Linked DNA regions of Alligator mississippiensis. The protein of the gene in region 1 interacts with the protein of each later gene in a biochemical or structural test. Links are inferred from orthologs where the notes say so. Each region holds a gene or a part of one and is shown on either strand. Other genes may lie near its edges. The genes, in order: RAB11A, RAB11FIP4 and RAB11FIP1.

What was found.
Region 2: the proteins of RAB11A (region 1) and RAB11FIP4 form a complex in vitro, tested with the Homo sapiens proteins (2 studies listed by BioGRID, with this or other methods). The link is inferred for Alligator mississippiensis from reciprocal best matches to the Homo sapiens genes RAB11A and RAB11FIP4.
Region 3: the proteins of RAB11A (region 1) and RAB11FIP1 form a complex in vitro, tested with the Homo sapiens proteins (2 studies listed by BioGRID, with this or other methods). The link is inferred for Alligator mississippiensis from reciprocal best matches to the Homo sapiens genes RAB11A and RAB11FIP1.

The regions. Positions count from the first base shown.
Region 1 is NC_081834.1:5,470,654-5,481,606, reverse strand, and holds the start of RAB11A (ras-related protein Rab-11A), read left to right. Parts: upstream 1-5,802; 5' UTR 5,803-5,921; coding exon 5,922-5,961; intron 5,962-10,953. UniProt on the Homo sapiens protein: The small GTPases Rab are key regulators of intracellular membrane trafficking, from the formation of transport vesicles to their fusion with membranes.
Region 2 is NC_081831.1:7,596,545-7,607,053, forward strand, and holds the start of RAB11FIP4 (rab11 family-interacting protein 4), read right to left. Parts: upstream 4,096-10,509; 5' UTR 4,074-4,095; coding exon 3,936-4,073; intron 1-3,935. UniProt on the Homo sapiens protein: Acts as a regulator of endocytic traffic by participating in membrane delivery. Required for the abscission step in cytokinesis, possibly by acting as an 'address tag' delivering recycling endosome membranes to the cleavage furrow during late cytokinesis.
Region 3 is NC_081830.1:18,616,396-18,627,401, forward strand, and holds the start of RAB11FIP1 (rab11 family-interacting protein 1), read left to right. Parts: upstream 1-6,215; 5' UTR 6,216-6,286; coding exon 6,287-6,648; intron 6,649-6,670; exon of another isoform or gene 6,671-6,872; intron 6,873-9,257; exon of another isoform or gene 9,258-10,176; intron 10,177-11,006. UniProt on the Homo sapiens protein: A Rab11 effector protein involved in the endosomal recycling process. Also involved in controlling membrane trafficking along the phagocytic pathway and in phagocytosis. Interaction with RAB14 may function in the process of neurite formation.

The DNA.
Region 1 (10,953 bases):
AGTCATATATGAAAGTTTGTGCCTGCTATCTATCTATCTATCTATCTATCTATCTATCTATCTATCTATCTATCTATCTATCTATCTATCTATCTATCTATCTATCTATCTACCTACCTACTTTGGTTAGTTTATGAAGTACAAGTCTCCCCGACCTCTAGTAAAACACAGCCAGCCTAGTTCAGCAGCGACAGACACATGCACACTTTGACAGCTGTACAGTGCTCTAAGTGAGCTGAGGTTGATAGTTTCAGCAGACAGGTGCTTCTTCACAAGAAATAACACACAGGGCAACAACCACCAATCTTGTTTCAGCAGCAAAAGCAGAGCTTTGGTTAGCCAAGAGCCTATACTGTCTTCTCCGTGCCCTGGAACTGGTCCCTTTGGATCAAAACGCAGGTATCCCGCGGGGTGAGCAGGGTGGGGATGCTTGTTCAGCTGCTGCCCTGTGGATTGCCTTTAGCTCCAAACTGAGATCAGAGGAGGGGGATGTGAGAGGGCAGTAAAGAAGCAGGGGTGACCACTGGCCAGTGTTATCTTACAAGCGTGGAGCAGACTCAGGCCACACAAGTGCACTTGCAAGACTACAGTAGAGGCAGGAAAACAGTGACTTCATTTCCTCAAGTGTCAAGTCATTTGGGCAGCTGATTCCTGCAGAGTGGTGACAACATCTCCTGGTTCTCATTTACCAGAAAGATGATGATCAAGAGTAGAGGGTGTCAAAGATACGGCCTGTGGTCAGGATCCAGCCTGCAGAGCCCTATCATCTGGCCTCTAGTGTTGCCTGTAGAACTCAGAGTTGACCCACACGTTGCATACGATGTGCGCTGGGTCGGCCCATGTGCTGCACATGGTGCGTGGAGCTGGTTTGGGATGTGCTCTGCACAAGCAGCCCACACCACACTGGTCTGGGATGCACTCTGCATGAGGCGCCCCCGCTTCCAGGCCAGGCCAGGCCAGGCCAGGCCAGGTCGCACGCTGCATTCACTGCCTGTGCAGGCCTGGGCCAGGATGTGCTCCGCACATGGCACCTCAGTCCAGGATGAGTGCTGCACTGGATGTGCACTGGATCTAGCACGCAGGGCTGGACTGCAGGCCCTATCAGCCTCGCACCATTCCTCCAGCCTGCAGGGCCTGATGAGTTCAACACCCCGGATTCAGGGAAACAATTAATCTAGAGAGCCAACACTTTCTGGACCACTCCCTCCAAGCTTTCTCCAGCTGGGATGTATACTACATTTTTTGGTGTATAAGATACATTCCTCAAAGGGATTGTTGCAGAGAGTATTGCAGAAACATTTTGTTTTTACTTACATCAGCTTGAATCTATCAACCTTTAATACAATAATTTTAATTAATTTTCATTGCATAGCTTTAAGGTATAAGACACCTTCATTATAGGTCTCCATTTCACGGGAAAATGTATCTTGTTGGTCAGAAAATACAGTAGATATATTTGGTAAGGGGAAAATGGTCGTAGGATAATATCAGATTCGAGTCCCATGTTGTCAAAACCCCACAACTTGGGTAGAAGTAGGCTGATCTAATGTCCTGGATCAGATCCATCTCTTGTTATATGAACAGTAGAAGCAGGACGGGAAGAGAGTTTATAGCAATTCAGATAGACTTTCAGTAGAAAAATCTCTCCCTGCTCTGTGCTTTTTTTATAATGCCCACTTCAACCAGGAAACACCATGAAGGGAAGGACTTCAAGTACATTGCAGTCCTTTAAATTCAGTAAGGTCTGCTTAAAAAGGGAAGTCTGTTATTTAAACTGTCGGGTTTTATACTCTCTCCAGAGTGACTAATGTTGGGCTGGGGCTGGTGATGCCGAAAGTGACTCCTTCTCTTTTATAATTTACAGCCTTGATTGGAAAGCTCAGTGAATTATCTCTGCATAATTGCAATGATTCATTGCTTGTTAGAAAATTGGAAAGTATTGATTGGATTTCCCCCCTAGGAAATATTTCTCCTCTGGAAGAGCAGGGTAGGTTGCCTTTGCTCTGCTTTTGTCTTTCCTGCTTGTTAATAGAGGAAGCCTGTGGTCTCTGATCTGAGAAACAGGAATTTGGGTCAGCAGCCAGGCAAGGACAATGGTGAATTATTGTCACTTGCTGCTCCAGATCATTCTCTGAACTGCTCTCTGATGCGTTTTGCATGGATTGGAAATGTAGAGCCAGAAAACCTGCAGCCAACAACAGCAGTACTGAGTTGCCGACGTCCATTCCAGTTCCTTCAGCTCCCACCTCGAGTCACTCTGCACACCCCCGGGAGCCTGACGATCAAATCGGGGCCCTGCTTAGGTCAATGGCAAAGCTCCCGTTTGGTTTAATGGAGCTAGGAACCTACCTGAAAGCCTGGGCTTTGGGCCCTCTTTTAGGGCATATAGTAAAAAATGCGGGCACCAAGTCCAGCATCAAATGCCCCTTCCATGTTATTTATGCTCCTAATACGTCTCATTTGCATGATAGGGTCATGCCTGTACACATAGCTCATGCATGTACACATGAATAGTGCTGCTGCAGTTGCCTGTTTCAGCAGCTAGCGGCTGAGTTTCCAGAAATGGCTGTAAACATAGCTATGACTATGCCCCCTGCTTCTCTCCCGCATCAGACACTTGAGACCTATCTGAACCCCAACCCTTGTCTGCGCTCCAGACATGTGGGGTGTCTCTCAGCTGCTCATTGCAGAGAAGCATGTTTCTGTCTCAGCAAGGAATGTGAACCTGGGTGCAGCTGGGGGTTTTCCCCTGTAGCACTTGCACAAGACTGAAGCTCGTGGCACTAACTGGGTACAGCAACATAGGGAAGGGTACTGAGTCATCCCCCCCACATGCTCCCAATCCCTGACCTGCAGAAGCCTCTGTGATTGCAGCTCGGAGCATACATGCCCCGGGGCTGTGAGTGTACCTCATTGCTAACACACTGGAGCCCAGATAACCCACCCCTGGGTCGCCCAGTGCCGCACTGCTGCACCCTCTCCTTGGCTTGCACCACCCGTCCCATGCAAGTGGACTGTGTTACCAGGCCTCCCCCCACAGGAACGCCGACGTTTTGGTGCAGTGAAGGGATGCATTACAGCACGTGGAAAATGTACATACAAGGTACTTTTGAGATCAACTGGTAAATAAGAACGCCATTAATAAAGAAACCCACACAGGAAAAACTTCTCTTGAGTAGGAGAGCTCATCTAGCTTTCCATAGCAATGACAGTCTTTTAAAGCGTGAAATTAAGTTTCTGAAGTTCCAAGTTAAGAGACGAGTCTTCGTAACGACCAAGTTACAAAGAGAGCCCCACAAACTCTTGGTCACCCCACGGCAAGTCCAGGGGTTCATCACAATGGTGCAGTCCTTAATCCCTAGGTCCAGCACCAGAGCTGACCATAAATAAACTCATCGTTTGCTCAACTACATCTATTTTAAAAGCACGTCTTTTATGCTCTTAAATATAAAATATATATAAAATATATATTATAAAAACATGATCTATATATTCTATACTGAAGACCACAATCCTTACAATCACATGCATGACAAAATGAACATTATGACAAGCACCCCATTGGAGGCTGGCACTTTGCCAGCCTGCAAGGGAAAAGCCACGGTTTCCCACCTTTTTCTCCTTTAAAAGAGAACCCATTTTTAACTTTTTCACATATTCTTGCGACTCACGTTTGGGTGGCGACCCATGGGTTGAGACACACTGCCCTACAGAACAAGCACACGTGGGACCATATCCAGGCAGGCGTGTTTGCTTTAGGCAGAGCTCATGCCCTACATGGTTTGCCTTTTGTGTAGCCTTATCTGTCGGTAGCAAAAGGGTCTAATCTCCCCTACCGCACCCTGCTGCTCTGTCTTGCAGGAGGGAGTCTCCCATCCTCGCAGAGCTCGCTTGCACGGCTGCCCTGCAGCTCAGCCCGACACGGGGCCGCTCGCTCTCCCCGCGTGCTCACACCACCTCCCTGAGGCCTCAGCCGTCCCACTCGTGAGAGGGTAACACTTTAGGCCAGTGGTTCCCAGCCTTTTCAGACACGAGGCAGACTCCAGGCATCCCCGGGACAACACCAGCTCTTCGTTTGCACTCTGTTTTGACTACAGAAAAATTTGACGCCACTCAAGGCAGCGATTCCCTGGGCAACTTCCATACCCACCACTCCCAGCCTGGACAGCTGCTGGGCCGCCAGCCACGGCCACTGCTCTTCAGCCTCAGCCCCGCGCGCCCAGAGGAGCCCCCAGCGTTACCCCAGAGCGCTGCGCTCCTTGCTGGGCTGCAGCCGGCTGCCCCGTCCCATCCCGTCTCTGCTTCACACGTCTCCGGAGGGGCCGAGCTGGAATAGCGGGTGTCCCGCCTGTACGGGCCCAGCTCCTCCGGGCTACACTTATCCTAAATAATAAGGAAAAGGGACCACGATAGACTGTCCTCTGCCCTACCTCCATTCTTCTTCTGGGCTTACTTTAGCCCAGCCTGATGCTGGTGTCGTCTGCTCCCTCCTGCTCCGTGACCTTCCCTTTCTCCACACGCGCGGCCCCTCTGCCAAGCACATCATGCTGCCCCTTCCTAAACCCACGGTGCGTCCACGCCCTGGCTGCTGCGCTCAGCTCTAGGCCCAGACCTGGAGAAGGTGCGGAGGAGGGCGAGGAGGAGGATCCGTGGCACCGAGCGGGCCGACAAGGCGCTTGGTGGCGAAGGGACAGTCCGTGGGGACTGACCGTTGACGCCCCTTACCGGACCAGACCGGAGCCGGGCGCTGCGCGGAGGAGCACGCGCTCAGCTGAAAACGCAGCAGCTCTTGTTCACACGGCGCCGAGTCCAGGGGGTGTCGCTGCCACCCACGGGGGGGTGTGGGGGTCCGGGGGGGTCTGGCTGCCACCGACGGCGGGTGTGGGGGTCCGGCTGCCACTGCCGGTGGGGTGTGGGGGTCTGGGAGGGGGGTCTGGCTGCCACCGACAGGGGGTGTGTGGGGTCTGGGGGGGGTCTGGCTGCCACCGACGGGGGGTGTGGGGGGTCTGGGGGGGGGGGTCTGGCTGCCACTGATGGGGGGGTGTGGGGGTCCAGGGGGATGTTGCTACCACTGACAGGGGGGTGTGGGGGGTCTGGGGGGGGGTCTGGCTGCCACCGATGGGGGGGTGTGGGGGTCCAGGGGGATGTCGCTACCACCGACGGGGGGGTGTGTGGCTGCCACCGACAGGGGGTGTGGGGGGTCCGGCTGCCACTGCCGGGGGGGGGGGGGGGGTGTGGGGGTCCAGGGGATGTCGCTACCACCGACGGGGGTGCGTGGGGGCCCGGGGGCGGGGTCTGCCTGCCACAGCGGGGGGGGGGCGCGTGGGTATCAGCAGTAAGCTGCACGTGTCTGGGAGTGAAGTGAAAGGTTGAGTGCCGCGCGCGGGGCAATGCAGTGTAGTGCAGTGCCGTGCACTGGGGTTTCCCTCCCCCGCCCCGCGCTGCCCCGCCGAGGTGAGGGCGCGCAGCGGCCCCGTCGGACCGGCTGGGGGGGGGGGTGGGGGGGGAATCGAGGGAAAAAGATCAGGTTCCACCGAGATTTGAACTCGGATCGCTGGATTCAGAGTCCAGAGTGCTAACCATTACACCATGGAACCGCCTGACGCAGGCGCGCCCCGCCCGCCTCTAGAGCTTCCCGCGCCGGCTCCCTGCACACGCGTAGTAGCGTCTGCCCCGCCCCCCACCCTGCACGGGCAGCCTGGGGGGGCGGGGGCAGGCGCCCCGGAAGCAGTACCGGCAGCCACGCCCCCTCGCCGGCCCGGTGACCCCAGAAGCGCCTGTGGAGGAGGAGGCGGGTGTGGGGGGGCTCAGAGCGGAAGTGCCGCAGCGCCAGGGCGGGGCCCCGCGTCCGGCTCCTCAGTCCCCGGCGGCGGCGGCTCGGCTCGGCTCAGCTCGGCTTGGCTCCGCTCCCCCTCGGCACCATGGGCACCCGCGACGACGAGTACGACTATCTCTTCAAAGGTAAGGGCCGCGCCGGGGGGCATGTCCCCTCCCGCCCGGCCTGCGGGCCCGGCTCCCCGCACCGGGCGCGGGGCGGCGCCGGCAAAGGCGGCTCCCAGGGCCTGGGCTGGGCCCTGCGCTGGCGGCGGCGGGATGGGGTGGGGTCCCTCTACCTACCTACCCACCCACCCACCCACCTACCTACCTACCTGCACACACAGGGGTAGACACACGCACCCCCAGGGTAAGTCTCCCCGGCCTCCTCCTGCACTCCCTGGGCGGGCTGCCTGTCTACCCCCCCCCCTTTTTGGACCTATATACGTGTGTACACACACACCCAGCCCACTTTTTTTATTACACATATATATTCGCAAGCTGTTGTGAGCTGCAGCTTATTTCACCAGCTGCTGCAAAAGGGTGGGTAAAAAGCAGAGTGCGAGGAGAGAAATTAGACTAGGTGGGGACAGAGAAGGGGGGAGGGGAGGGAAGGGGCTGGGCCTGGACAGACAACCCTCAGACCTGTAGGACCAAGGGTAGAGTCCCCCTCTGCCTGAAGAAGGGCGTTTGTGCCCGAAAACTTGCGAAGAACAACTTTTGCAGCTGCTTAGTTGGGTAGATGTGATGTCGTCTATTAGACCCAAGAGCCCTGTCCGTCCAGGCGCGAGGGTGCCTCCCGCGTGGAGCCGGGCCGCGGGGTAAGACTAGTTACCCCTGCGCAGGCCTTGCAGCAGATGCTTCTTGCTTCCAAGCAGGATGATTAGAAACAAGGAATGACTCACTTTTTAAGGCAAAAGAGTTATCACGAGCTTGTATTTTATGGCTTCTTTTGCAAGGCTGCTGGTCTGTTCCCAAAGTGCGGGGGCCGCTGTGAAAACGTTAGGATGAGCAAAGATTGGTGGTGATGGTGGACAGGGTCTTGCACAGTTAAACGGTGCGTCCCTGAGCCTGGCTAAACTCCTGTTTGGGTCCGGTACTGGTGTGACACATGTATCTCGGTGCAGTAGAGTACGTTGTGTTACTTACCTGGCACTGCCTTTCTGCACTTGCACACCCACCGATCTCACTTCCTGTCGTCTCGCTTCGCGCGGCTCCCAGGAGAGCAGGGCAGCGCTGCCCAGGAGCTATGCAACTTCTTTTTTTGGTAGTTCGCTTGAACTTTATCACAGCGTAATATAAATGCTCTACTTCAAGTTCCACTTTCCATCACGTAAAAAAAAAATCAGCAATCTGTTGCAAATGTTCGCCAGAAACGCTGTAAAAGCATGCAGTTGAAGATAAGTTTGAGGTTACTTACTGCTTCAGCTAGCATTGAAAAATCAGTAGCTTGAAAAATATTTTAAGACCAGTGTGGAGTTAGAAGCAGATTTTCAGGAGACTATTAACTGCAAGCAGCTATATCTAGAATATTATTTTATCCCCTGTGTAGCGAAGGGGATGTTAGTTGGAGCAGATGCCGTATGGCAAAGGGGGAGTACAGAGTTCTTTGCTGTGCGTGTTTGTTTTTACCTGCTTGAAACCCAGCAAATGAAAATTGTCATTATTCATTTGGTTCATTTTCATTTGGAAAATGGCTTTCCTTACCCCCCCCCCAGCCTTTGATGGTGCTAATCCAGATTGAATTTTATTAGTAGATGTTAATTACATTTGAAACAAAGCCAGGGGGCCTGATTTCAACAGTTGTCCCATGTCAGTCTTACAGCCCAAGTTGCAACATGCCTATAGATAAGTCTTTTCTCGTCATTAAGGTAGATTTGCTTTTGGTGCATTCCCATTTACACTGGGAAATCACCAACTTCTACAAAATGATGTGTAAAGTGGACATATGAAAACGTGTCATCTTTACATCTTCTGTTTACATAAGACCGATGATAGTTGGCTTAAGGTAGCTGTTGGACATAAAATTAGAGGCAAATCGGGTTGAAAATGGTGGTTCTTATGGTATGAGCCCCACATGCTACAGTTCCAACTGAATCGGAGGATTTATAGCAAAACGGCTATCCCCTGACTGTTGAATGCCTAGGACATGCGGTTTGTCCCCATGACAATGCTGTACTACACAGTGGGCTGTAGGAAAGGCAGTGATGTCCCAGGGACTTGGAGCGTGAATCCCAAAAAACAGACATGGTCTATGTACCCTTGTCTGTCTGTGTCACATCACAAATATTTTTCCCCAGAAAAGTGAGGTTAAAAAAAACATGGTGGCATAACTAATACACTAATTCAGGGTGGCTTCTGAATTTCGTAATGTCGCTTTCTGACCTGGATTATAGAACCTGATGTAATCTAAAATATCAAGGAGGTACCCTAGACAATCTCAACTGGCTTTAACTTGTTTGTGTCTTTTTTTTTTCCCTTGTGTTTTGGATATTATGTAATCGTTAGAAGGTTTGGCTGCAGTGTTGGTTACACCTTCTGCGAAACTCCAAATTTGAGACAAGTGAACCAACAAACTCGCTTCTCATTTCTGACAATCAACTGATTTAAATATGCCAGGCCAGAGGAGTTGTACTTCCTTCCTTCTTTGCATCTTACTCATTTTTCCAGCTTTATTACTAAATCAAAAAAACTCCTCTGAAACTGGACAAACTCGCTGGTCTGGATTTCACACAATGCACTGTTGTCTCATATTTGCTCTGTTTATAGGAAAAACCCATCTCCTAAAAGCTTCTGGGTTTTTTAGCCTGCTAGTAAGCCCTAGATCAGAGGCTCTTTTTCCATTACAAATTAAGGTATTTCCCTCTGATGTAGTTTAATTACTGTCTCCTTTGGATTTAAGCTTGGAGAAATAGATTAGTAGCAGTATCTTTCCAGCATTTGTATTCCAGTATCTTTCCTTCTTGCATACTCTTGGAGGGCTCCTCCCATGTTTCAGAGGGATAAAAATGTGTAGGTACAGGGCTTCAGTTAGATGGGTTTGATGTTCTAGATGAAGGAGGTGTACCATTTATGATTGATACTTGTAGACAGTGCAGTCTTGTAGTACCAGTTTAGTTAATTTAACTGGAACCTGAATGTAATTTAAGCTAGCTCATGACTTTTATTTTAATATCAAATGTTTGATTTTTAATTCAGGTTTATAAGAAAGAAGAAAAGTTGGGTAGTTTAACTTTTGTCTGTCATTTTTTTTTCCTCTTAAGAGTTTGGTTTTCATGCAATGTAAGGAGCAGAGTTATATGGTCATGTTTTGGACATCTCTTGTTCTAGTTCAGGCTCTGCTGGGTTTTCATTCCGTACCTCTGACATGTCATTGTGCACAAATAGTGGTGTTTGCAGTTGTGTTTTTTGTTTTGCTTTGTTTTGTTTTTTAATCCCCAAAACCTCCCTAATCCTTAGCTAATTGCCATTGGTGTAAAGCATGGTCTGAATGCCAAGTAGTTCACTGAAGCTAACTGCATTAACAAATCATTAAAACCGTTAAAAGCTCCCTTCTAGAAGAATGGCCAACTATTGGAGAATAGAAATTCACTTATGTGAATTTATTAGCTCTTACAGGTTTTGGGACAAGGTAGGGTTCAGTGTTCTTGCATTTAAAGGACCATGTTTAAGTTTTTTAAACTCTTTAATTGCCCCTCATGAGACAGTGACTGTTTCCTAAAATAAACAGATTTGGGGTAGTGACAGGTCTGTTATTAAAATAGACTTTTGTACAGTTTAACAAATCCCAGTTATTCTCTGCTGTTTTGAATAGCAGTTAGCCAAATATTCCCAAAGACCAGATCACTAGTATTGCTTTCAGAGATTAGGTAAAAATAGCAAGAGTTAGGTTCAATCCAGAGGTGCAGCAGGCAAAAATGAACTCATGAAGGAAAAATCATTTGCAGTCTAACAGGGTGACTAAAAATGGGAAGTTTCAACCTGGAAGGTGAGGAAATGATTGCTAACACTCTTAAAATACTAGTTAGCAAAATGCTAATTGACTTGCTATATTAGCTAGCCAACAAAAATGGGGAGTCAAACTGTTTGAGAAGAAAATTACTCTTTCCTTCTAATGATGTTGGGCTTCCTGCTAACTAAAGTAATGCATACATCTGAGACTGGATTTATGTATTACTTTAGTTGTCTAAGCCCCTCTCTCTTGCTGCTACTATTTTTCACTTTCTCAATTTGCTCCTTTATCTCAGAGCTGCTCAGATACCAGGTGCTGTGTGTGCAAATGCAGGCTGATTCAAGGGGTGGAACTTGCTGTGTTAACTGGTCAGTCAGGGCAGAACCTATGACTATTCTTAATGTCTTTGTAGTGAGCTCAAGCTTGGCAAGAAGTGTTAGGGGGAAGTAAATTGCAAACACCAACTTTTTAGTGCTGCATATGGCATTGCTGTCCAGCCCTGGTGCTTTCAGGCATTTACATTTCACTGGATGACCATTGTCTTTTCTCTATACTTCAGTCCTGACTAGAGTTGTAGTGGCCAGTATCTAATAAATGTTGAAGCTAGAAGCATACAGTCTGTTACCAGAAAGCTTGAAATCCAGCGGTGTGTTCATCTCTAGTTTGTCAAAGGTAGGCTGTGCCAGACTATCCTGATTATCTTTTTCTGAGAGAAGGATGGAGGAAGTGCATTAGTTGTGACCTGTCTGAATTTTACTAACATGTTTTTAGATGGTGCAAAATGGGATATTATTTCTGAAACTGGAGAGGAAGGAATTGGTAGAAGAATTGTGAAGGTATTGGCTGTAAAAGAGGTAACAGTGGGTAGTGCTGAAAGGGAAGCACTGAGCGGCTCAAGGTTATGTTCCTCGGGGATCTTGAAACTGGTCTTGTTCGCTCTCTTGATTTTTATGACCCTGGCACACAAATTAAAGGAGTAGCTAATGACAATTTGCTGATGATATGTTTTGATGCATCATCAAAACAAGGGCTGACAGGAGCATGTAGGAAGAACTGGACAAATTTGAGGTTGGGAAAACAGTACACAATGTAGAGACCTACTGGGAAAGTGCATAAATCAGTTCCCTGCAGAACGCGTTGTGGGGCCCAGTGCTGCTTGTCACTTGCTTCGTAACAAACTGGTTCTG
Region 2 (10,509 bases), on another chromosome or scaffold:
GGCAAGTTGGAATCTGAAAATGCTTGTACTTGTGATGATTTAAGAGAGGCATTTATCTCTAATTTGTACTGCTGAAAAATCTGTCCCCCTTGCTACAGGTACCACAGGAAATCAACACAGTTGTTTGTAACACATGATTTGTATTTGATAATACTGTAGTAAGGTTTAATCCTGGCAAAACTCCCACTGGCCTCAATGGGGCCAAGACTTCCCTCAGTGGATATAACAAAGAGGTGGAAGGAGCAGAGTGATTTTCTTTTTTTTTTTTTTTTGTGCTTAGAGTGAGTCTTCAACAGTGCAGTAGAAATGCATTTCTCACAACTAGGGGCAATAAAAGGCCACAAAAGAGGTCAGCCACAAATATTTTAAAGCTCCCCTTCCATGATTTGACTTTGCAGGTAAAAATAAGGCTTATTTTGCTCAAGCAGAAGAGCTGCTGCTTTGCTGCAGCATTTTGCCTTCAGGTAGTTTTCAAAAAGCTGCGGATCTTTGCAGAAGGATAAATTCTCTCGTGTGGACCAACAACAAGCAAAAAAAACGCAAAGAGGGCAAAACTGTGTGCTGCATTAATCTCACCAGCCCTGGTGGGTAACTCAGGGTCAAATGGAAGTGATGATTGATTCTGGCTACAACCAGATGAGGATGGGAGGAGAAGGAAGATTTTTCTGAACAAGGAGAGAAAAACAAGTGAGCTAAATTTTTGCTCTCTCACACTAGTGCAGCCCTTTGGACATTGGTATCCATGATATTCACCATCAGAGTCACAACAGGGCCGAGTCCACTCTTCAGTGTTAGGTACAACATGCTTGAAGTGGAAAGGATAAGGAATCTGGTGAAGCTTCCACTGAAAAGATTCCCCATGGGTTATAGGTGGAAGCCGGGTTGGTCCCCACTGGCACATGCAGACACTGAAATGGAACGTGTCAAAGGGGGCAGGGAGCTCATCAGCAGCATCTTTTCAGTCTAATTTAATCAGACACACTGCAGCAGATTTCCACCCAGAAGTTATTGGGACCCTCTGGACATGAAGCTGCAAATCGCTGCTCTATTCTGGGAAGCAGATTCTCACAGCCTGCCTGCGTCACCCACGACACAGAATTAACACAGCTCGTTTTTAACAGCCCTTCGAACAGAATGGCAAAGTCACTGTCTGCCCGCAGAGAGGTGCTCACAGTAAGACAGATGCAGCGGTCCCACGGCAAGGCTCTGGTGGTGATCCTGCGCATCAGATGTGTTCATGTGACAGCTCCAGAGATGATGTTTCCAACTGCCTATATCACACGGCCCAGCCTCTGGGTTTTCCATGCCTCTCATGTAAGCACCAGCAACACACGTGCACGTCCACCGGTGAAGCATGGGACAGACTAAAATCCAAGTCACTATTCCCCAGCAAAGCTGGTACTCAGGGATGAGTGGGAGGACTACAACATCACTGCTTGCCATAGTTGGGGCCCCAATGCGCTCTCCAATTTTGGACGGCCCTGTGCCTCCCTTCCTCCTTCTTTCCTTCCCCACATTTTCCATATGGCTCTATCACACACTTCTGTCTCTTATCTACTTGCTCACAGGTTCCCCTATGGCCACCGTCTTTCTTCTCTAGCAATTTTTCCCTACGAACTTGCCCACGCACTCATCTTATTGTCTCCAGTTACCCACGCTCCTCATCACCCTGCACTCCCTTCTGATAAACCCTCCGTCGGTGTATTAGTGCCATTCGCAATGACTTGCTTTGGGAGTGAAGGATGCTACAATTCTTTGAGGTCTCAAGTCCACTATGTCTGATGACTGCGGCCCCATGACTGCATCTGAAAAGCACCATCTTGGCACATCAAGACAAAACGCTACAATTAGACAAGAACAGACTAGGAAAACCGCACTACTGACTATACAAGGATCCCTTAAAGTTGGAATGACTTCAAAAGGGACCACAACACCGGCTTCCCTTTCCTAACTGCCTCCTTGTGAACTCGCAGATCTCCCCAGAGTTGTTCTTTCCTGCCAACATTTACAAGAATGTGACAGGATGCAGTGTTCAGACGCAGTGTTCAGATGCAGATCAGGTTTGGGCAGTAGTTCGAGACTGAATCAAAGTTTACATCTGGCTTCAGATTTAGGTGCACAGAGATCACAGAAGCTGTTCTCATGAGTTTTTAGTCACAAGTGACAATATTTAGATCCCATCAAAATGAAAGCCCTAAAAAAGCACCACCTTTCTGGGTTTGACTCTGTTGCAAAACCAAACTGTAGAGGCAGGGAATTATAATCCTGAAACACCGAGCATCCCCAAATCAAAATGGTGTGAAATGCTATGAAATGCTGAATGGTCCATGTCTAACAGCAGCGTAAAACTTACCACTGTTTCAAAGCTCATTAAAGCTCGAGGGAAGTCTTTCCAACGATTTCAATTAGCAGAGGAGCAAACTAGCTATGTAAAAGGAAAGCTGAGACAAGTTGAATTACTTAAAGCTATACAGGTAGGGCCCCCTTTCCCATCTGTGTAAATATCTTATTCAAACATTTTCAGTTACAAGTGGAGGACCCATCTCATTGCCATCCACCTGTTCAGCTGGGCCCACATCACAGCCTAAAATTCAGTCTCTTTCTTTGCATATTATTTGTTTCTTTCTCTGCTGCTTGTTCATGATCTAGGCTCCTCCCAATATTTAAAATACACCATTCACAACTGATCATTTTCACAACTACAGACCTTGAATTCACAATTTAATCTCATTCTAAAATTCAAACAACTTAAAGTTGCATATTTGCTGATTAAGATGATCACCTGCCAAGAAGAAACAGTCTACCTAACCAAATCTAACGCCACCTGAATCCTCCTTTATCTACTCATTTATGGGCCCCAGGTCCCCTCCCAACAGCCTTATACATTTGCTTAGATATTAAAGCCAAAAGGACCTTGATAGACATTTAAGTCCCACCTCCTACAAAACACAGCCCGCAGGATTTCACCAGCCTTCCTAAATGCCACGGGAGAAGGCTACCGATTTGGGTAAAAACAGAAGAGTACAAAACCGCCCACAGGAAAATGCTTCTCACCACAAGGGCTTAGAAATTCAGATCATTTGCTTGTATAGGAATATACAACTTGGAGACAAATAAAAACACAAAAACAAAAACAAAAAATCAATACTGCTCATTATGAGCACTAACTTCCCCTGCTTATCTCGGTGGCTACTGAACAACCACCGTGGTCTCCGATAGAGAAAACATTCAACATCAGATCTATGCAAGCAAAAGAGCCTCCCGAATCCCGCTCCTCTGCTTTCATTCATCCGTGCTTTGTTACCAGGGTTGAGCCAAAAAAAGAAGAGTGATTTGGTTCGACAAGCAGAGCGAATTCACCCTCCCCGGAGCGCTCCTACGATCTCGCTTCCTTTCAAAAACTGCAGGGTCATTTGTTTCGCTGCATTTTCAAGGGGTCCGAAGTTTTCCTCCTGACACCAGCTCCAGGCCGCCTCCTTCCCCCCCTGGCGCCGGAGCTGGCTGCGGAGCAGCGGACTGGAGAGACAAGCCGACCCCCACAAAACCAAACACTTCGCCACCGCCGGTTCGTTTCAGGGAACAGCACGACCTCCGTCCCGCGTACAAGCGCCTGCTGCCGTCTGCACGGACGCCCTTCCCCTCGGACTGGCTCTCGCCACCCCGAGGGAACGGCTTTCCCATGACACCGACGCCAGGGCCCCGCCACAGCTTGTGGCACAACATTGTGCTTCCATTTGTGTTGCCCGTGGGCGCGCGCCGTATTGCTGTCCACCCGTGGGCGCGCCGTATCGCTGTCCGCCCGTGGGCACGAAACAGCCTCGCCCGGGCTCAGGGCATCTCACCTGCTCAGCGCCTGACACACCCACACCACGGTGCCCCCCAGCGCGTCCCACCTGCTCCCAGGCCCCAGGGCGGCCCCGCCCCGCCCCGCTCACCTCGTCGCCCTGGCCGAAGCGCAGCCCCAGCGCCACGAAGCGCTCCACGCGCAGCAGCCCGTCCGCATCCTCGTCGCACGCGTCGAAGACCTCCCGGAGCCGCCGCCGCAGCAGCCGAGCCGGCCCGCCCGGCTCCATCGCGGCTCAACGGCCGCAACCGCGACCCCGCAGCGCCGCCGCCGCCATCCGCCGCCGCCGCCGCCTGCCGGCCGGCCGCCTCCCGCCGCGCCGTGACGTCAGCGCGGGGCGGGCCCAGCCAGGTGTGCGGAGGCCTCTGATTGGCTGCGTGGGCTCTGATTGGCAGGTCTGTGGGGGGGGCTGTGATTGGCGGGGATGCGGGGGCTTGAACGGGTGGGTGTGTGTGTTGGAGGATTTGATTGGTAGGTGTGTGTCTGTGGGGCTTTGGCAGGTGTGTGGGGGGGCTGTATTTGACAGGGGTCTGGGGGCGGGGCTGTGATTGACAGGTGTGTGAGGGTGGGGCTGTGATTGGCAGGAGTGTGGAGGGGCGAGGCTGTGATTGACAGGTGTGTAAGGGAGGGGCTGTGATTGGCAGGGGTGTGTGGGGGCGGGGCTGTGATTGACATCTGTGTGAGGGAGGGGCTGTGATTGGCAGGGGTGTGGGGAGAGGCTGTGATTGGCAAGGGGGGATGTGGGGGTCTGTGATTGGCAGGTGTGAGGGAGGGGCTGTGATTGGCAAGGGGGGATATGGGGGTCTGTGATTGGCAAGGGGGGATATGGGAGTCTGTGATTGGCAGGGGTGTGGGGGGCAGTGCTGTGATTGGCAGGTGTATGTATGGGGGTCTGTGATTGGCAGGTGCATGCAGGTGGGGCTGTGTCTGGCAGGTGTGTGCAGGGGGGTGTGATTGGAGTGCTGTGTGCACTGGGGGTGTTTGATTGGCAGGGGTGTGTGGGGGGGGCAATTTGATTGGCAGGGACATGGGGGGAGCTGGCAAGCCTGGAACGAGGTGACCTCAGGGGCAGCAGCTAAGGGCATCTGCGGGAAAGCCCTGGGGCCGAGGGGCCAGCAGTGGGCACTGAGCCACAGGTGTCCCCGGCCCGGGGGTCTTGGCACCAGGTGTCTCCTGGCGCTGTGCCTCCTTGGCGCTAAGGGAGAGCTGGCGGAAAGGCCGTGAGCGTATTGGAGCGGCAGGGAGAGGCCCGGTGCCCTGGGAGGAGGACAGATGTCTAAGGGCCTGGCGTGGACCAAGCGCCCCCCACCCTGCCGCAGTCTGGGAGAGCCTGCCTGGCACAGCCGGGCTGGTTTACAGAGGGGGAAGCTACGCCGCCGGGTGCAGACGTGGTGCTCCCACACTGACGGGTGCAGCTGCCTTGGTGTTATTTCTGCTGACGGCCGCCCACGGGCTCAACGTTAACGATGCCCTCTCGATTTGCCCCCTCTAGTCCTGCCTTTTTTCTCCCTTGGGCCACGTTAAAAGTCCACGTCTACAAGTTTTCTGGGGCGAGAGGAAGCCGCTGACCCGCAACAGATGGACCCATGTTTGTGCCCCATGGTCTGGGCCTTGTAAATCCTGCACACAGCCTTCGGGCAGGGGTTGAGGCAGACCCTCCCTCCTCGGGGGCTCGGAGTCTGGTTCATTAGACACGCTGCCATCGTTAGCGAGCACGAGAAGCCATTATTTTCATTTTATGGCTCGCGTGACTTTACGAGCAATGTTTTGCAAGTTATTGATAAGGTAGCTCATTTAAAAATACTTTATGTTAAAGATTTCAGTTACCAGCTGAAATATCCTTTATCAGTTCCTCTGTTGAGATAACCAAGGCCCAACATTGCACCAAACAGCTCTGGAAATTTCACAAGGGAAGGAAGCCCATCCAAATCCCTCCTTCCCAGGAGATATGCACTCCCTCCCCAGCAGTTTGGTTTCTTCAAACACAGGCATCATCCTAATTTTTATGTGCAGATATAATACTGTTGGAGAAGGCAGGCTTGACAGCCTGGTAAGCTGAAGTCTCCTGTTGATCCACAAAACAGTGACAGCACAAGCCATAGTAGCAATGCAGGCTTCCCACGTACCCGCCTCCACCAAAGCTCCTTAATTTAAAAGGCTGCAGAGAGGGTGAGGAGTTGCTTTGGGAGACTGTCACCGTATCATTTCCTTAATCATACCATAAAAGTTCCATAAAACACCCTGTAAATTAATCCATGTCCTGACATTTATAAAAACTTGGAGCCACATTTTTTCTGCTGATGTTTACAAGCATGGGAGAGACCGACTGCGAGTCACTGGAGTGCAAATTTTCACCTGCGCACGTGCATTTTTACCACGCGGGCGAAGTTCCTTTGTTTTTTTAAATCACAAAACGGTAACCTGGCCAGCCAGGGGAGAGACACGTCCTTTTTGACAAAAGCAGGAATACATCTGCAGACTGGATTTAACCCCAAGTATCGGAAAAACCCGAAGACCTCCATTTCTGGTCTCTTTCCAATTGTATTTTTGCCCCAAACAGAAAATTGACTAAATGTAGCTTTGAGATCTGCGGTGTGAGATTTTGAAATGGAGGTCGAGAAGGTAGAAACAGTCAACTGGGAAACACAGGTGTGGGCAGGGGAGAGGGGAGAAGACTTGAGATGGAAGATGAGCTGAGAACAGGAAAAAGGGAAGCAATGAGTTTTATGGGCTGCTACTGGAGACTGAAAGGTTATTATTATAAAAGCAGGGTTCTGAGCTTTATGGACCAAAGGCTCATGCCTTTTACCTGGGGAGAGCTGAGCTCTCACTATGTCAGATGCTCCTATTGAAATAAAGGGACTGTGTTCTCCAACAGGAGACTAGAGGTGAATTCCCATTAACTCCTACGGAAGTTACTTATACACTGCGTCGGTAGAAATAGAGTCCTTGTTGGGGAATAACACGTGACAAAGATTGCATGAAGCCTCTCTGCCTGGTGTCCATTGCAATCTTCCATTTCTTGGTAAACAGGGACTCATTTAGAGAAAAGCCCTGGGAACTGAGCTGGGACTGGGGAGCAGGGACTGAAGTCTGCGAGCTGCCGCAGGGAAGTTGAGTGCCCAGGAGATGTGTGAGAGCACCGCTATCAGAGAGCTGGGAAGTGTATAGGAGCTGTCGCAGCAGACAGCTGCGTTCTGAGCTGAGCTCTGACGGCTGGGAGCTGATCCAACGGCACACACGGGAATTGAGACGTGAGAGGTAGGCACTGGATACCAGGAGTTAAGGGCTGAGATCTGAAAGCTGGGAGTGGCCCAGATGTTCAGCTCAGCGTCCTCGCTGTACTACACTTGCTTGCCTTGTGACCATAGTAGGAAGATGTAGCATGAAAGAATGGGCTGTGGGTGTGGGAGTTCACTTTTCTTGTCAGCAACAGGGTGTGCAGTAGGGAGGAAAGCATTTTGCCTGAGATTTTCCCAAGCTGCCCAGAGGATCCAGCCTCTCAGCTCTCATCAGAAATCAACAGGGAATTGTACACTAAGTTCCAGCATGGACTTCAGAATCATACCATAAAAGCCTGTGTTACACAGTTCCTTCAGAGCTGCACAAAGCAACCAGAAGTTAAACTACCAGTGAATTTTGAACAATGAGTGGCCCTTTAAAAATCACTGCAGGATCTCAACGCAAAACGTCACTGACTTGGAATTATATACAAAAAAAAGGCAGGATATTTAACATTTCAAGGCTGCTAATACATCTAAACCTGGTTAGAAAAGAGGCTACATGTTAATATATAGTAATATCATTATGAATTATTGTATATAATGACTTCCAAAGTGGTTAGCAATATTAACGAGATGAGCATTATAACTGCATAGCGTGGAAAGAATGTATTATTTATTCCCCTTTCAGAGAGGTCAAATAACTAACCCATCATCACAAAAGAAGCCCATGAAGTGAATTCTAGATCAGGCTTCTTAAGTCAACGGACACATTACCATTGTAGACTTCAAGGTGCTTGGAGTTAAACTGTACCAAAGTGTGGCAGAGGTGCCAGATCTGCCTCCTGGGGCTGGACATTAATGTCTCTCTGTAGAGGGACATTTTCATTGTTCCTCTGTAGAGGGTGTTAAATCTGGAGCAAGGTGCTCTATCAGAAGTGAATTGCATTTAAAACACTGAGTAAGATCATCTGGAACAAATAGCAGCCTCAACTGTTTTTCATGGTGCTTATTATATTACAGAACATTTTTGTGGCAAACACACATTTCACTCTATTTCTAAAAGAAAAGTTTGCAGACAAGCTCTCATCAGAGATTTCCACAAAACATGATATATTTGTATCTTCAGGAGAGATATTTGACAGATAATTTAAATGCAATTCTGCTTTGAAAAGTGACTTGCTAAAAATGGTATGGGGGGGGGTGTACCTCGTGCATTGTCTTGTACTGACACCACATCAGATCTGCTTGGTTCACAAATGAGAAGATACTTTTTTAATTGCCTGCCCTTCCCTGCAAACATACCATGGGATTTTAAACCAAATGTAGGCTCTTTCTGCTTCATATATTGTTACCAGTAATAAAAATACTGGAAGTGGGATTTAGTCAACCAAATCAGCTGGTTATGTATGGGGGTGTCTGCATGTGCATTTAAGCACGCCTTAATTTAATGTGTATTATCTTAATGTGCATTAAGCAGGTTTAGATAGGTGTCTACACATGCAGGCATTAAAGCACATAAATGCTATGTGTTGACTGCCTTGGGACTAAGGTTAGTGCTTTAAAGATTTGCACCTAAATTTGATACCTGCAAATGCACAAATACCCTAAATTTGCCATTTTTTATGTGCATTAAGGTGTGCACATGTAGACACACACCCTTATTGTGCATTAACTTAGGCTAATGTGCATTAAAGGGCCCTGTGTAGAAACAGCCTATGCAACAAAATAAAGTCCAGCTCAGTCCCCCATAGCTGGGTGTTCACATTTAGATATGGGCTCAGTGGCAACATTTGGATTCAGATCTGGATTTTAAACACTCCTGTTCCCTGAAGCATTTGGATCTTTACCATTTTGTTTTTAGGCCCAACTTCATCTTTTATCAATGAACAGAGGAGATACAATTTGGAAACCCACTGGGAGGTAGCCTGTTGACAACAAAGATACCATATTCTACATACGACTCTAAAGTCTTTGCTATAGTCTTGGTTTGTACCAAGTCTACTGTTATGAAGTCCTTACCCACTACTGGACTATAAATAATAGTATATATTGCCTTTCTGAAGATAACTGCTCTTCAAAGAGTTTTGTCACTGGCTCAGAGCACTGAGGATTTTAATTATGGATGCGAAGGGGGGAAAAAGACTCTGCAGATAAATCAATCTGTCTGGAATATGGCAGCTGCTGAGCTTTGATCCCCTGTAGAGTCAGTTATCTTATTATTTTTCCTGTAAATTTTTTTTTTAAATCTATAAATAGTATATTCATAAAGTTACTAGACATTTTGAAAAAAGCAATACATCATCTAAAAGCAAGAAGGTTTCTAAGGACACTGGGTCTAATGCTCAATGAGGTGTGCATTTGTCCATGCTAGGCCATGTTCTCCTAAGATAAGCTAAAAAGGCCTGGGGCTGTTAAACACTTGCATGAATGATTTGCAAGTGAAGTGCACGGAGAGCAGAAGATGGTTAGGATGACTCAGTAGGTGTCATTCATGCTGGCATACAAATGTCCCAATATAGCACTGGTGCTACAGAAGCAGGGGACTTTGGGAAACTACATGAAACATAAAACTTAGGTTCCCAATCACCTACATTCCAGCACCTAACCTTCTTCTCTCCACCCCAGCTTTAATTAAGTTTTGCCCTTCTTAAAAATACTTGTATGATGCTATGGGGTAGAGGCTGCATTTCAACAGGGATCTTCCAGTTCGTACTGTGCAGGATTTATATTTCTTCTGAGTTAAAACCCCCTACCTAAGGTATCATCTGAATCATACTATGCTGCTCACGGTCAGAAGTCCCTGGATCTTAGATGTGAAGTTGTGTGGAACTCAAGTTCCAAAGGAAGCATAATAGTAAGAGTTTCAGCACCTGAAATATCATCTCTGGTAATGCTGCCATCTCTTTCCTTCTGAATGACCAGAAGTTTCCTTGAAGGCCTTGAAGGGTGTTGATGGCACTTGCAAAGTTTCATTACAATCAGCAGTTTTCCCATCAATGTCATTTCGACTTATTTAGCAGATTTAAATCCAGTGTCAGAAACTGTGCGTAGAAACTGCATCGCCAAAGGCGGATGACCTTAGCATTTGCAATTTTGGTAGCCTTCCAACATGCAATAGCAACATCTTTAGAGATAAATGTTGCTATTGGGGGCACATGTCACTCTCACTGGGAATCTTTCTTTATAACCACGAGTCTTCTAGTTTTCAGCCAATAAAAAGTGACCTTCAAGCCTGGGACATTGTAATTAATGATGATAAAGAGCTGCTATGCTAAAAGTAGGATACGAGGTCTAGGTTCTTTCAGTGGGTTTCAAGCTACTGGAGGGTGATGGGGGGTGGGAAATGGGGAAACAGGAGGAAGAAGAGAAAGGAGAACCGGGGAAAGAGACTGTGGGATGTTTTGGACCTGATGCTCAAAAATAAATAAAATAATAAGTTAA
Region 3 (11,006 bases), on another chromosome or scaffold:
GCACAGGCATAGAGATGGTTGCTAACCCGACTTGGATCTGAACACCAGGCCAATGCCCTAACCACATTATCTTTCTTTCCTTATGCTTTCTGGGATGGACCTAACCAGTTCCACCCCTACTTTGGGATTCTCTAAGTCAATCTGCATGCTGATTGATTGATCCCTTGGTGTGCGAGAGGGTGCTGCTGTCCAGATGTCCTAATTTCCTGGTAAATGATTCTGGCTTGACTGTGCTCCTCTTCCCAGCTTTCCTGCTTTCGTGGGAAACCTCACTCCATCATTTGACATCCTTTCTTGAGATCAGCGAGGAAAACTGCTCACTTTAAGCATCCACAATGCCTCCCTGTCTCTGGGGCCACACAATCCTCCCAGGGCCATCTCTTGAGACTTTTGTTCTCTTCTCTCGCTAGCCTGCTCCCTCAACTGGCCCAGCACTCTCTGAACCCAATGGAAAATTCCTGCTGAGTAGGGGCTGGTGTGCTAAGGAAGGTCTTATCTTTTACTGCAACCTATTGAGAAATCTCTCATTCCTTCATCAGGTTGCCTTATTTTTAACACTTGCCTGCCTAGCACTCATCCCGTGGTAGCCTCCGTCAACTTGTTTTATGTCTAGGTCAAAGCCCCTGGCTCTTTTGGTAGAAACCCTTCGTACATCCATAGATCCCATAGCACGTTACTGTGTGATCTGTCCAGGGTCCATAGATCCCATAGCACGTTACTGTGTGACCTGTCCAGGGTCCATAGATCCCATAGCACATTACTGTATGATCTGTCCAGGGCTTGAATCCTCGTTCATCACATCCTCTGCTTGCATTTTTCAACCAGGATCTCCCACATTCTTCCAGTATCTGCTTTCCTGTAAGTCAGCATAATTTCACCATCTTCCAGTGGGATCTTATAAGTACACTGTGTCTCTGCAAACCTAACCCGATTACAGTCACCAAGCAAGAGGCTCCAGCCTGCTTTGAGATCAGCCCTGTCAAAAGGAAAAATGTTCAGCTGCCAGTGGTTTGCACTAATAATCTCATTTCAGAATTGCTGAAACACTTTGCTGGAGTGCAAGGACAAAGTGGACTGAGACAGCTCCGAAACAAGGGGAAAGGACAAAATGCAACAAGTCTTGTTATTGGTTATTAACATCGTGCCAGCAGCTGGCACAAATACTGTATAACACATTTTAATAGGTTCACAATTTACTAACAGAGGTTAACGTGGACTGTATATGAGCAGCAGAAGGCAGTACTGCTGTTTAGCCCCAAATGTAAAAGATGCTGCTTATTTAGGTGAACTGCCGAAGGACAAGGAAACATGGAATTACACAAGCAACAGGTACTGAGTGCCCCTTTAGCCAGGTCAAGGTCCTTCCCCGATAGACATGGTAGCAGGGACAATCACCGCCACCCAGATAGTTAAGATAAAAAGTGCATAAAGAAGTCTGAACGCTGGCCTAGTAACCAAGGTATGCAGGTGCTGATGTGATAATCCGAGCGTGTTACCAAGAAGCCTTCGTTAATCCCTGTGCGTATAGCATTTTAATTTTGTAGTTTGCATTGCTAGACTCATGCTGCCTAGTGCTGACATCTCCCACACTTGAACTCAGCCTGAAATTGGAAAAACTTAAGCATGACCAAAATGCTGAGTAACACAGGGCTGCGTGCATGGTAATGATACCTAAAAGTCTCTTTTTTGTTTTGTTTTGATCTCATGACACTGCACGTTCACCCTTCTCAAAAGACAAGATAAACAGAGCTATTAAAAGATAAAAGATCTTAAGTGGCTGACTTGGGGAGGTGAAATACATGCATGACTAATTATTTGGTTTGCAATTTGAAATAGGTTGTTGCTGTCTAAACTAATCCAATAAATAAGCTGCCAGGAATTCACTTGGGATGGGAGAGCTAGAAAGGGGGAAGTGGCAGTGCTGGCTGAGGGACTGAGAGGGTTTTCTGGAATAGGTTCACATTCAACGGCTGTGTCATAGGACGCCCTAAAAGGGACTTTCATCCCAAATCTGAAAGACGACCAGCAGTTCAGCAACAGGTAGTGTCCTGATCAGGGCTGGCATTTACTAACTGTGAAGTTGCCCTGCCCCTGAAACGAGCTGGTCTCTGGCTTCAGGGCTCTCAATATCTGCCCGTGGAGCATCCAGGGCTAAGTCCCATGTTTTGTTCCCCAAAAGCAGAGTGACTTAACATAGGCAAGATAGATCATCAGTCCCACTTTAAAAATGGAAGAACGGGAAGCGAGAGGGGGACTGGTATGCAGAGCAGTGAGTCAGCAGAGACCAGACTCTGCTCCGAATGATTAGAAGCCTTGTCTCCACACTACGAAAGATAAATGTATTGGACCACAGGGAAACCAACAAGTGAGAGCCACCCAAGGTAAAAACACAGTGAAAACATATATTTTTTTTAAATAATTTTTTTGTGTTCTGGTCCAAATCAATTCCAAATCTGTGAGTCAGTCAAGTTTGCCCTACTGCTGGCAAACATCCTCCACCTCACCTAGGGCTTCAGATGTTTCTAAATCCTTTGGCAGGCATCCTAGGTGCAGGCCCAAGCTCGGAGACTTGGGGTTCAGATGCCCCCGTGTTTCGCTTGCCCTCAGCCATAAGGCCCCAGGGGTAAGCCTGGAAGGAGTCTCCCATTTCCATAAAGTGGGCACAAAGCCAAGATCTTCCCACTCCAGCAGCAAGTGGGAGCTTTACTATACATTACTTCCGTGGGTACTGTATGGTACCTACCCCATACTAGAAAAGCAGCCATCCTTGGGTGCGACTTAGTGGTCATGGTGAAAACATGGTGCTTAACAGATACTATGAGTTAAACCAGACAAGGTATAGCTGTGGGAGAAGAGTGCCGAGTGCACCGTAAAACTGAAGTGCCTTGCCGTCATGGTGAGTTCACCTTGCAGGGACTTATCATGCATTACCTTCTGTGCAGTGAAAATGCCTTTTTTAGCCGTGAAGACAAGGGATGAGGTCATTCTGAGGATAGAGGCCTGTGATGTCCTCCCTGCTTCTGCTGAGCCACATAAGTGCATTTCCAAGGTGTGCAGACAATGGTGTCTGATTGCAGTAGGTCAGTGCTATCTATGTAAGAAGCCCTCAAGCACGGCGCAGTGTATTACAGGTATTTGTGACAAGCTGTGAACAACGTACATGCACTTTATGAGCTGGGCCTGGCCCTCTACAGCAGTGGGGAGGGGGCATATTTTCAGTGCACAGGTGGCCGGAGAGTCTAAGCACCTGTCTGAGCCCAATCCAGGTGTGAGTTCCCCTACAGCAAAATCCATCTCACCTTGCTTTGGCACATTCACATCCTGGGTGTAGCTTCCCCTCTAAAGCTGGGCTCCTTAGCACAACTCTGACTGTGTGGGGCTTGAGGAAAGCTACATTCCAACTATATGGGGTACGAACCAGCTTTTCAAGGCTCAAACCATCACAGCGTTACAGGATTTCATCTCAGGCCCTTTCCAGTGCTTGGTCCGATCGGCAACTGGGACTTGCCACTTTTTGCTGAGACACGTCATCCATCCACTTAGAGGCACACACGGCCACGAGACTGTGGACTTCAAAGCTATGACAGGTTTCTGACTAAAACACCTGTCATGGGGCTAGGAGTGATTCTTCTCCACTGGGACTTTAGGCATGTATAATTATGGCGTCGAATCCTATGCTGGGGGAGAGAAGAAGGCAACCTTTCTCTCCCGGCTAATGAAACAGCAACAACAAAAAGATGTTGCTCACAGGATTGGAATGGTAGAATGAGGAGTTTAGTGAGGTGTTTAGGGCAGGTGAGGTGATCAAAGGTGTGCAGTGAACTAATTTGTCACATACCTCGGCTGTTTTTCACGTGGCCTGGCTTAGAGATTTCACTGCCACATACCTTGTGTGTGTGCACGCGAATGCGGATGCATACTGCCATTGCTCTGCCTTGCCTGTCCAGCAGATCTGCTCTAAACAGTGAGAGCCTAGTGATGTCCAATGTTACTAAGCTAGCAAAGTTTCCATTTAAACTCCTAAAACAGTCAGCATCTTTCATGCTCAGTCTCTGCTATAAAGGTGGAGCTAATCTCTTCCCATGCTGGATTTATGAATGCAGTTCAGCACTGTCTGTATGTCAGGGGTCAAAAGGAAAGCTCAGACACTTGACTCATGGGTCTTGGGTCTACCGGATTTTGAATTGGCTTCTAGCATCCTCCTTTAACTGGCCATAGATCCTCAGGGGAAAAAAAGGCCTGGTGACTTGGATAGCAAGGTACATACAGACATTAAGGGATTGGAGTTCTAGGATTAGGAAAGGTTGACTCGCCCGGGAGCTGTAACATGAATCATTAAAACCAACATGCTGAAGAAAACAATTTGGAGGTGTCTGGTGCATTAGTGTGGGTGTATGCATGAGATATGCAGAGAAGCTCTGTAATTTCTTTTTCCATCAGACAGCTGTTTTATGAACAGACATTCAGGCCTCTGTCTTACTAGGCCTCCAACGTAAAATGCAGCCCCGTGACATAGTGACATCATATGATCAAAAGAGCAAAAACTGAAAAGATATCACATTTACCCAAATAACTTTGTTTGCCTATGCCTTTAGACCAACACGGCTACAACCAATACACCTAAAACTAAACAGTGAAAGCCTCTTTGACACCAGAGAATTTTCTGAGCCTTTGCTAATGTTCATGTGAAGAGCTTTTGCAGGTGATTTCTTTTATTATCTAGCACTTGGCTCCCAGTCAGTTGAAACCAGGGGCACAGAGAGTCTGAGGGGAGGGACAGGCCTTTTTTTTTAGCATTGTGTTAGTTACCCCAAGTGAGGACACATCTAAGTGCTGGAGCGCAATGTGTCTTGCGAGCACGCGCAGATCATGCATGGGGACCTTAGTTGGTAGCTGATATAAGGAAGGGCAATAGGTGAGATCATTGTTTACTAACTCATGTGTAAATGAGTGACTCCTCTGTTCCTCAAATAAAGCAGAACCCCACCCTCCAAGCATTACATTGGCATGTCACACCGAAACTCCCAGACAGCAAAACTGCATTCTCCACCTTCCGGTCCGTCTGCTGTCTGCTGGCAACAAGCTTTCTTCGGATCTGACTGAGAAGCAGAGGGGCCAGGGAGGGAAGTGCAGATGGAGGGGAAAAAGCTCAAAGCCACGGGTCCTACACACCCACGTAGAGTCACAGAAAATGAGGGTGGAAGGGACTTTAGGAGGTCACATCTAGTCCAACCTCCTGCTCAAAGCAGGACCAGCCCCAACTAGATCATCCCAGTCAGGGCTTTGTCTAGCCGTGTCTTCAAAACCTCTAAGGACGGAGAGTCCACCACCTCTCTGGGTAACCTGTTCCAGTGCTTCATGAGAAAATTCTTCCTAACATCCAACCTTAAACTCCCTCGCTGCAACTTGAGACCCTTGCTCCTTGTTCTGCCAGCAGTCCAGCCCCATCCTCATCCACATCGGTGCTGCAGCTCTTTCCTAGGCGCAGTCGGTCAACGAGACCGGAGCCTCGAAAGCTGCGCGAGACCGATGCCGGCTGCAAAGCTCCCAGTTAAACAAACGTGCTTCATTTAGAAAAGCTGCTCCCCTGAGGAGCCTTGCACGGGCCTTGGCGCTCCTAGCCGGGGCACTGTCCCCGCAGGGATCGGGCTTGTGTCCAGTTCTGCGCGCTGGGCGCAAGAGCGCCCTGGTTCGTGCAGTCACCTGCCGCCTTCGGTGCTTCTGGAAGTGAACAGGCCTCTTTCTTACAAGCTTTATTCTGGACGGACAGAACCGGGACTGCCAAATACACGATCTACCAAGCACAACGACCCTGGCTGGGCGCGTCTACACGTTCATTAACGTGCCTGAGACACTGAGACACACTGAGTTTAAGACTTCCTTAATAAAGAGCTAAGGAAAGGTGGTGTGCCCAGAGTTGCCGCTGACTGCGCAGTTGGTGCGCTGCGACGCTTCTGGTGTAGACGCACCCGCCCTGTGGGACTCCTCGCCTGGGAGCCGAGGGAGGGGCACGGGCACGAAGCCTGCGGGAAAGAGGCACAACACACCCCCTTACTCCAGGGGCTTGGCCCCGCCCACCCTAGATAGACCCCGCCCACGCCCCGGCTTCCTACCGTGACCACGCCCACTCCCTGACCTTAGTGGCTCGGCCCCGCCCAGAATTCTTACCCCGCGGCTCGGCACCGCCCATTCTGACGTCACGGGCGGTCCCGCCTCTCGCGAGAGCGGCGCTAAGCAGCGGCTGCCGGGGTAGCAGGAGCGGCGGCGGCGGGGGCTCAGTGCCGCCATGTCGCTGCCGGGGCCGGGGTCCCCGCGCTGGGCGCCCACGCACGTGCAGGTGACGGTGCTGCAGGCGCAGGGGCTGCGGCCCAAGGCGAAGGGCGGCGGCGGCAGCGACGCGTACGCGCTGATGGCGCTGGGCAAGGACAAGTTCGCCACGTCGGTGGCCGAGCGCTGCCTGGGCCGGCCCGTGTGGCGCGAGGAGGCCACGTTCGAGCTGGCGGCGCGGCGCGGCGGCGGGGGCGCGCCCGGCCCGGTCCTGCAGCTCACCGTGCTGCACCGCGCCCTCGTCGGCCTCGACAAGTTCCTGGGCCGCGCCGACGTGCCCCTCGAGCCGCTGCTGCACGACGGCGGCCGCCGCCACACGCGGTCAGTGCGGGGCGTGGGGGGCCGGGGTGCGAGGGGTCCCCGCCCCGGTGACGCCTCCTCCCTTGTCTCTCTCTTCTCTCTGCCAGGCCGCAGCCCGCCGCTCTTTCGGGCTCTCTCCTTGCCGTGCCGATGGGTAACGAGCTGCTTCTGCTTCCCTGTCCTTCCTCCTCCTCCTCCTCCTCCTGGCTCTGTCTCTAGCCCCCCCGGAGGCCGCGAGGCCAGAGGTGCGTGGGGCGGCGGGTGCTGGGGCGCACGATGGAGGGGAGGCTGAGGGGACTGGGCTTGCTTGGTGTGGAGAGGGGCAGGGGGGTGGGCTAGTTGTGACCTCCTGAGGTCCCTTCCACCCTCGTTGCCTGTGACACTTCACTTCTTCTTGCTCGTGCTCCATGGCAGTGTGGGGTTCAGCCTTGCCGTGCAGCCCTTCACGTACCACAGACTGGAGGGCAGGGTAGGGAGGGCGCGGGGACGGCTTTATTGAGAGGGTCTGGAGGAGCACAGAGAAGGCCACTTGTCAGAGAAGTGCCCACGGCTGCGTGATGCTTGGCAGCGTACTACAACCTGTACCCCTGACGCTTGACAAAGTGTTTTACGGGTTGCTAATGTAATAACATTGCTTCTCTGCGTGTTGATTCATGATACAAGCTGCTTTGCCTAAAGTCTTTCAGCTCCACTGTCGACAGTGACTCTATTTAAGTGCGTAATTTGTGACTGAAGCAATGGAGGGGAAACAGCTCTCAAAGGACTTGGGCTAGAGGCCTTGAAATTGTCCCGAGTTAGTTTCAGGGCTGCTGTTCCTGGAGTACAGGTACCGACTGAGATGGGTTGGAGCTGGGCTGTTCTCGGTGGTGGCAGACGACAGAACAAGGAGCAACAGTCTCAAGTTGCAGCGAGGGAAGTTTAGGTTGGATGTTAGGAGGAATTTTCTCACCTGGAGGGTAGTAAAACACTGGAACAGGTTACCCAGAGAGGTTGTGAAGTTTCCATGCTTCGAGGTTTTTAAGACCTGGCTAGGCAAAGCCTTGACTGGGATGATGTAGATGGGGCTGGTCCTGCTTTGAGTAGGGGGTTGGACTAGGTCCCTTCCAGCCCTCCCAACCCTCATTTAAACTACAGACAGAATCACAGAGAATAAGCCCATAATGTTTCTTCTCCTTGCCACTTCACCCCTGGTCCTGAGGCTCTGCACTTTAGAGTACATTGTCTAGGATATCTCAGTGTGTAATATTCATGCTGCTGTTTTTTTATGTTAAGTGCCATCTCGTCTTCAGAAATGAAGTGAGCTGAATGAATAGGACCAGCTTTGCTATCTTAATCTACTGCACATTGGGTTTTGGGAAGACATTGCTGTGAGTTCATGTAGTTGATTAATGTTTCTGGTCTCTTCTTCTCAAAGACTAGAAATATTTAAATGAAAGCTTAGATTTGGAAGTAGAGTGGCTTGGAGCATTGGGGAGCTGGGAGAAAGTAAAGATAGGAGTGCTGAAGAAGAAAAATCCCAGAAAAATAGTTTCTGGGATCCCTCTGCTCAGCAGCCATTGGCTCTCATGAGACTTGCTCACTCTACAAATAGGAATTTATCTCCTAACTGTTGGTCCTGCCTGTCAAACTGGGTGTGTGAATATGTGGCCAGTAAAAAAAAGACTCTGCAGATTTGATTAAGCCAAGAGCTACCCCTAAATGTAAAATATAATCCCATGTGTTGGTATTCTTGCACAGCTGCTTTCCCTATAAGCTGACAGCATTACATGGCTGTTCTTTTGGGGCAGAGGCTCCATTTTCCGGATCCTCTTTGTTACATTGCACCACTTGAGAAAAATCCCTCCAGAAGGGGAAGTGAGGAAACTGCAGTCTGTAATTTACAAGAAGGGAGGATCAGCTAGCTTAATGATTGCAAAATGTTTTGAAGATGACAGCTGTATATTAAGCTACGCATGCGTATTCAAGTGTAATCATGGCCTGGAAGGTAGCAGTTCATCCTGATTTGAGTTTCCATGGATTAAATGGTCTAATTGGTAGTAAAACATGCAGGAATTTAGAGCAGGAGTGTGACAGGTGTGGAGTGGGCAAGCTGAAGCAAGAAGTTCTTTAAAAAAGAGTGTTTTTAATTGCAATAACTGTCCAGCTGTATTGAATACCCATATATCAGGTATGTCAAACTCACCTGATGCCCCAGGCTAGATCCTGACCATGGGACTGCTTGGAAGCTAGATCCACAGGCCATACGTTTGATACCCCTGCTGTTTAAATCTCTGTATAAATCTCGAAAAGTGGAACAGGTTGCACAGGGAACAGCAAAACCGAAGCCTGTCCCTGCTGTCATCAGAATGAGTTGCTATGGAGATAGATGGGCACAAAGAATTGATCTTATAGCCAGTGAACAGGTATAAGTGAAATATTAATAAGGTCTCGTATTGAAGTACTCTGAGAAGTAGTCTTAAAATGGAAGAGAAATACAGAAAATTACACGGCAGAGTTCTTTCTAAGTAGAAAGCCCTGGAATGTGCTTGAAGGGGTCTTATGAACATGAGAGCTTGTTCATAACTTGTGAATTGATGCCTGATTGTATAAAGTCAAAGCAGTCCATTATCATAAGCATAATTCAAGCAAGTGTGTTTTTAAGTAGAATATCACTATTGCTTTAGATTTTTATCCAGAATTGTGTGGAATGTTTTATTCCCTCCTTACCCCCTTCCTCTCTCCCCCAATAATTTTGTTAACTTGGATTTTAAAACCTAGTTGCTGACTCAAGCAGAAGTGGCATGCAGGCTCCTTGAGCAAATCGGAAGGGGGCAAAGCCTTGTAACATTTGAGTTGCTGTCTGTGAACAAGCCATCTGTGCTTGCTGTCAGACTCTGTGGTTTGTCAAGGAGAGAAATCAAGAAGCTCTAGGACCACTATAGAACTGCTTGGCCTCCTTCCTGGGAGAGGTGGCTCTTGGTTCTGGACAGAAGGCTGTCTTTGTTCAGTCAGGGTGAGGTGTATATTGGGAGGCCACAGTTTCACACCACAAACTGTAAGTGGTGTGAACAAGTTTTAAGACAAACCAAGGTTTTCAAAAGCCTTAGAAGGCTGTTAGAGATTTTAAATATCTATTTGGCTTATTTACATGGATGCACAATGCAATAGTATACTTGATAACTGCTGTATTGGTAACTTGATCAGCTGTCGAGAGTTTCAAATTGCAGGTTGCATGTGATGAAGTACTTCAAGAAGATAAGGGAAGAGAGGAGTGTAGTCTGAGGAATGTTGCCTCAATTCCAGTTCTGCTTGTGTCTCTTTGAACCTGAGGGGAAAGCGGACATACTCTTCTTCTTTCCACCCTCAGATGAAGGCAGAAAATTCATTTCTTCAGTCACCTTAAAGTACTGGTTCTGCATGTCCTGCATTATTCAGTGAAACAGGAGCCACCCTTCTCTTTAACTGCCTAGTCAAGTAATGTGACTGCCATTGAACTGCCTAAATCGCCTATAATGCGCTTGCAAACATTGTGTTAAATAACCTTTATAGGGAATATAACTTGCGTTGGAGGTAAGCAGTGAACTAATTCTTCTTTGTCAAGCTGAAAGCTTCCTTGTCATCAGGTTGCTGGCTTTCTTATTTGGAAGAAATGGCTATATTTATTAAAATAACCATTATTTTCATTAGTTTGCTTCCTTGTAATTGAATCCAGAGCATATGTAATTTTGTTACTGAGTGCTGACATGTGCATAGTCAGTTGAGTAATTCCTGTGGGGGAGGTAAGTACAGGTTAGTTTGAAATATTGCACTTGAATGCTGAAAGTAATTAGATTGAAGCAGAATAATTCTTCTGAGAAACTATGGCAGTAGCTAAGTCAATACCAGTTACATTCCTTGAATGCTTAGTTGTTTTTCATAGACGGAGGAAAATATTTGCACAAGACCCTTTTATTAAGTGGACTGTGACAGGTACCCAGGCCAAGCTTGTCCCTTTCCTGGTTCCTAGTATCCCTGATTAAGAGCTGTCTGTGATCTGAATGCAATTGCAGTTCATAAAAATGCAGTCTTGGGGGAATAGTATTGAAGACTTGTTCTGCTATCTGGATGTCATATTCCTGTAGGATGTGGTTGTATTTCCACTAGAGCTGTTTTTTTAGGATTTGGTTGTTAAAATGCCTGTAGACTAGTATGGTATCCAGGTTGTAGCTGTATTGGTCTAGAGGAAAAAGCAATTGGGGCTTGTAATAGAGGTGATAGCTTTTATTAGACCAACAAGATTTTTGCAAAAAAAATGTCTTTCATTGCAAGCTTTTGGGCACAAACAGCCTTCTTCAGGCTGGCATGCAGACTGGTATGTGCACTCAAGCTCCTTCTGATAACCCGGGCTTCCCTGTCTGACA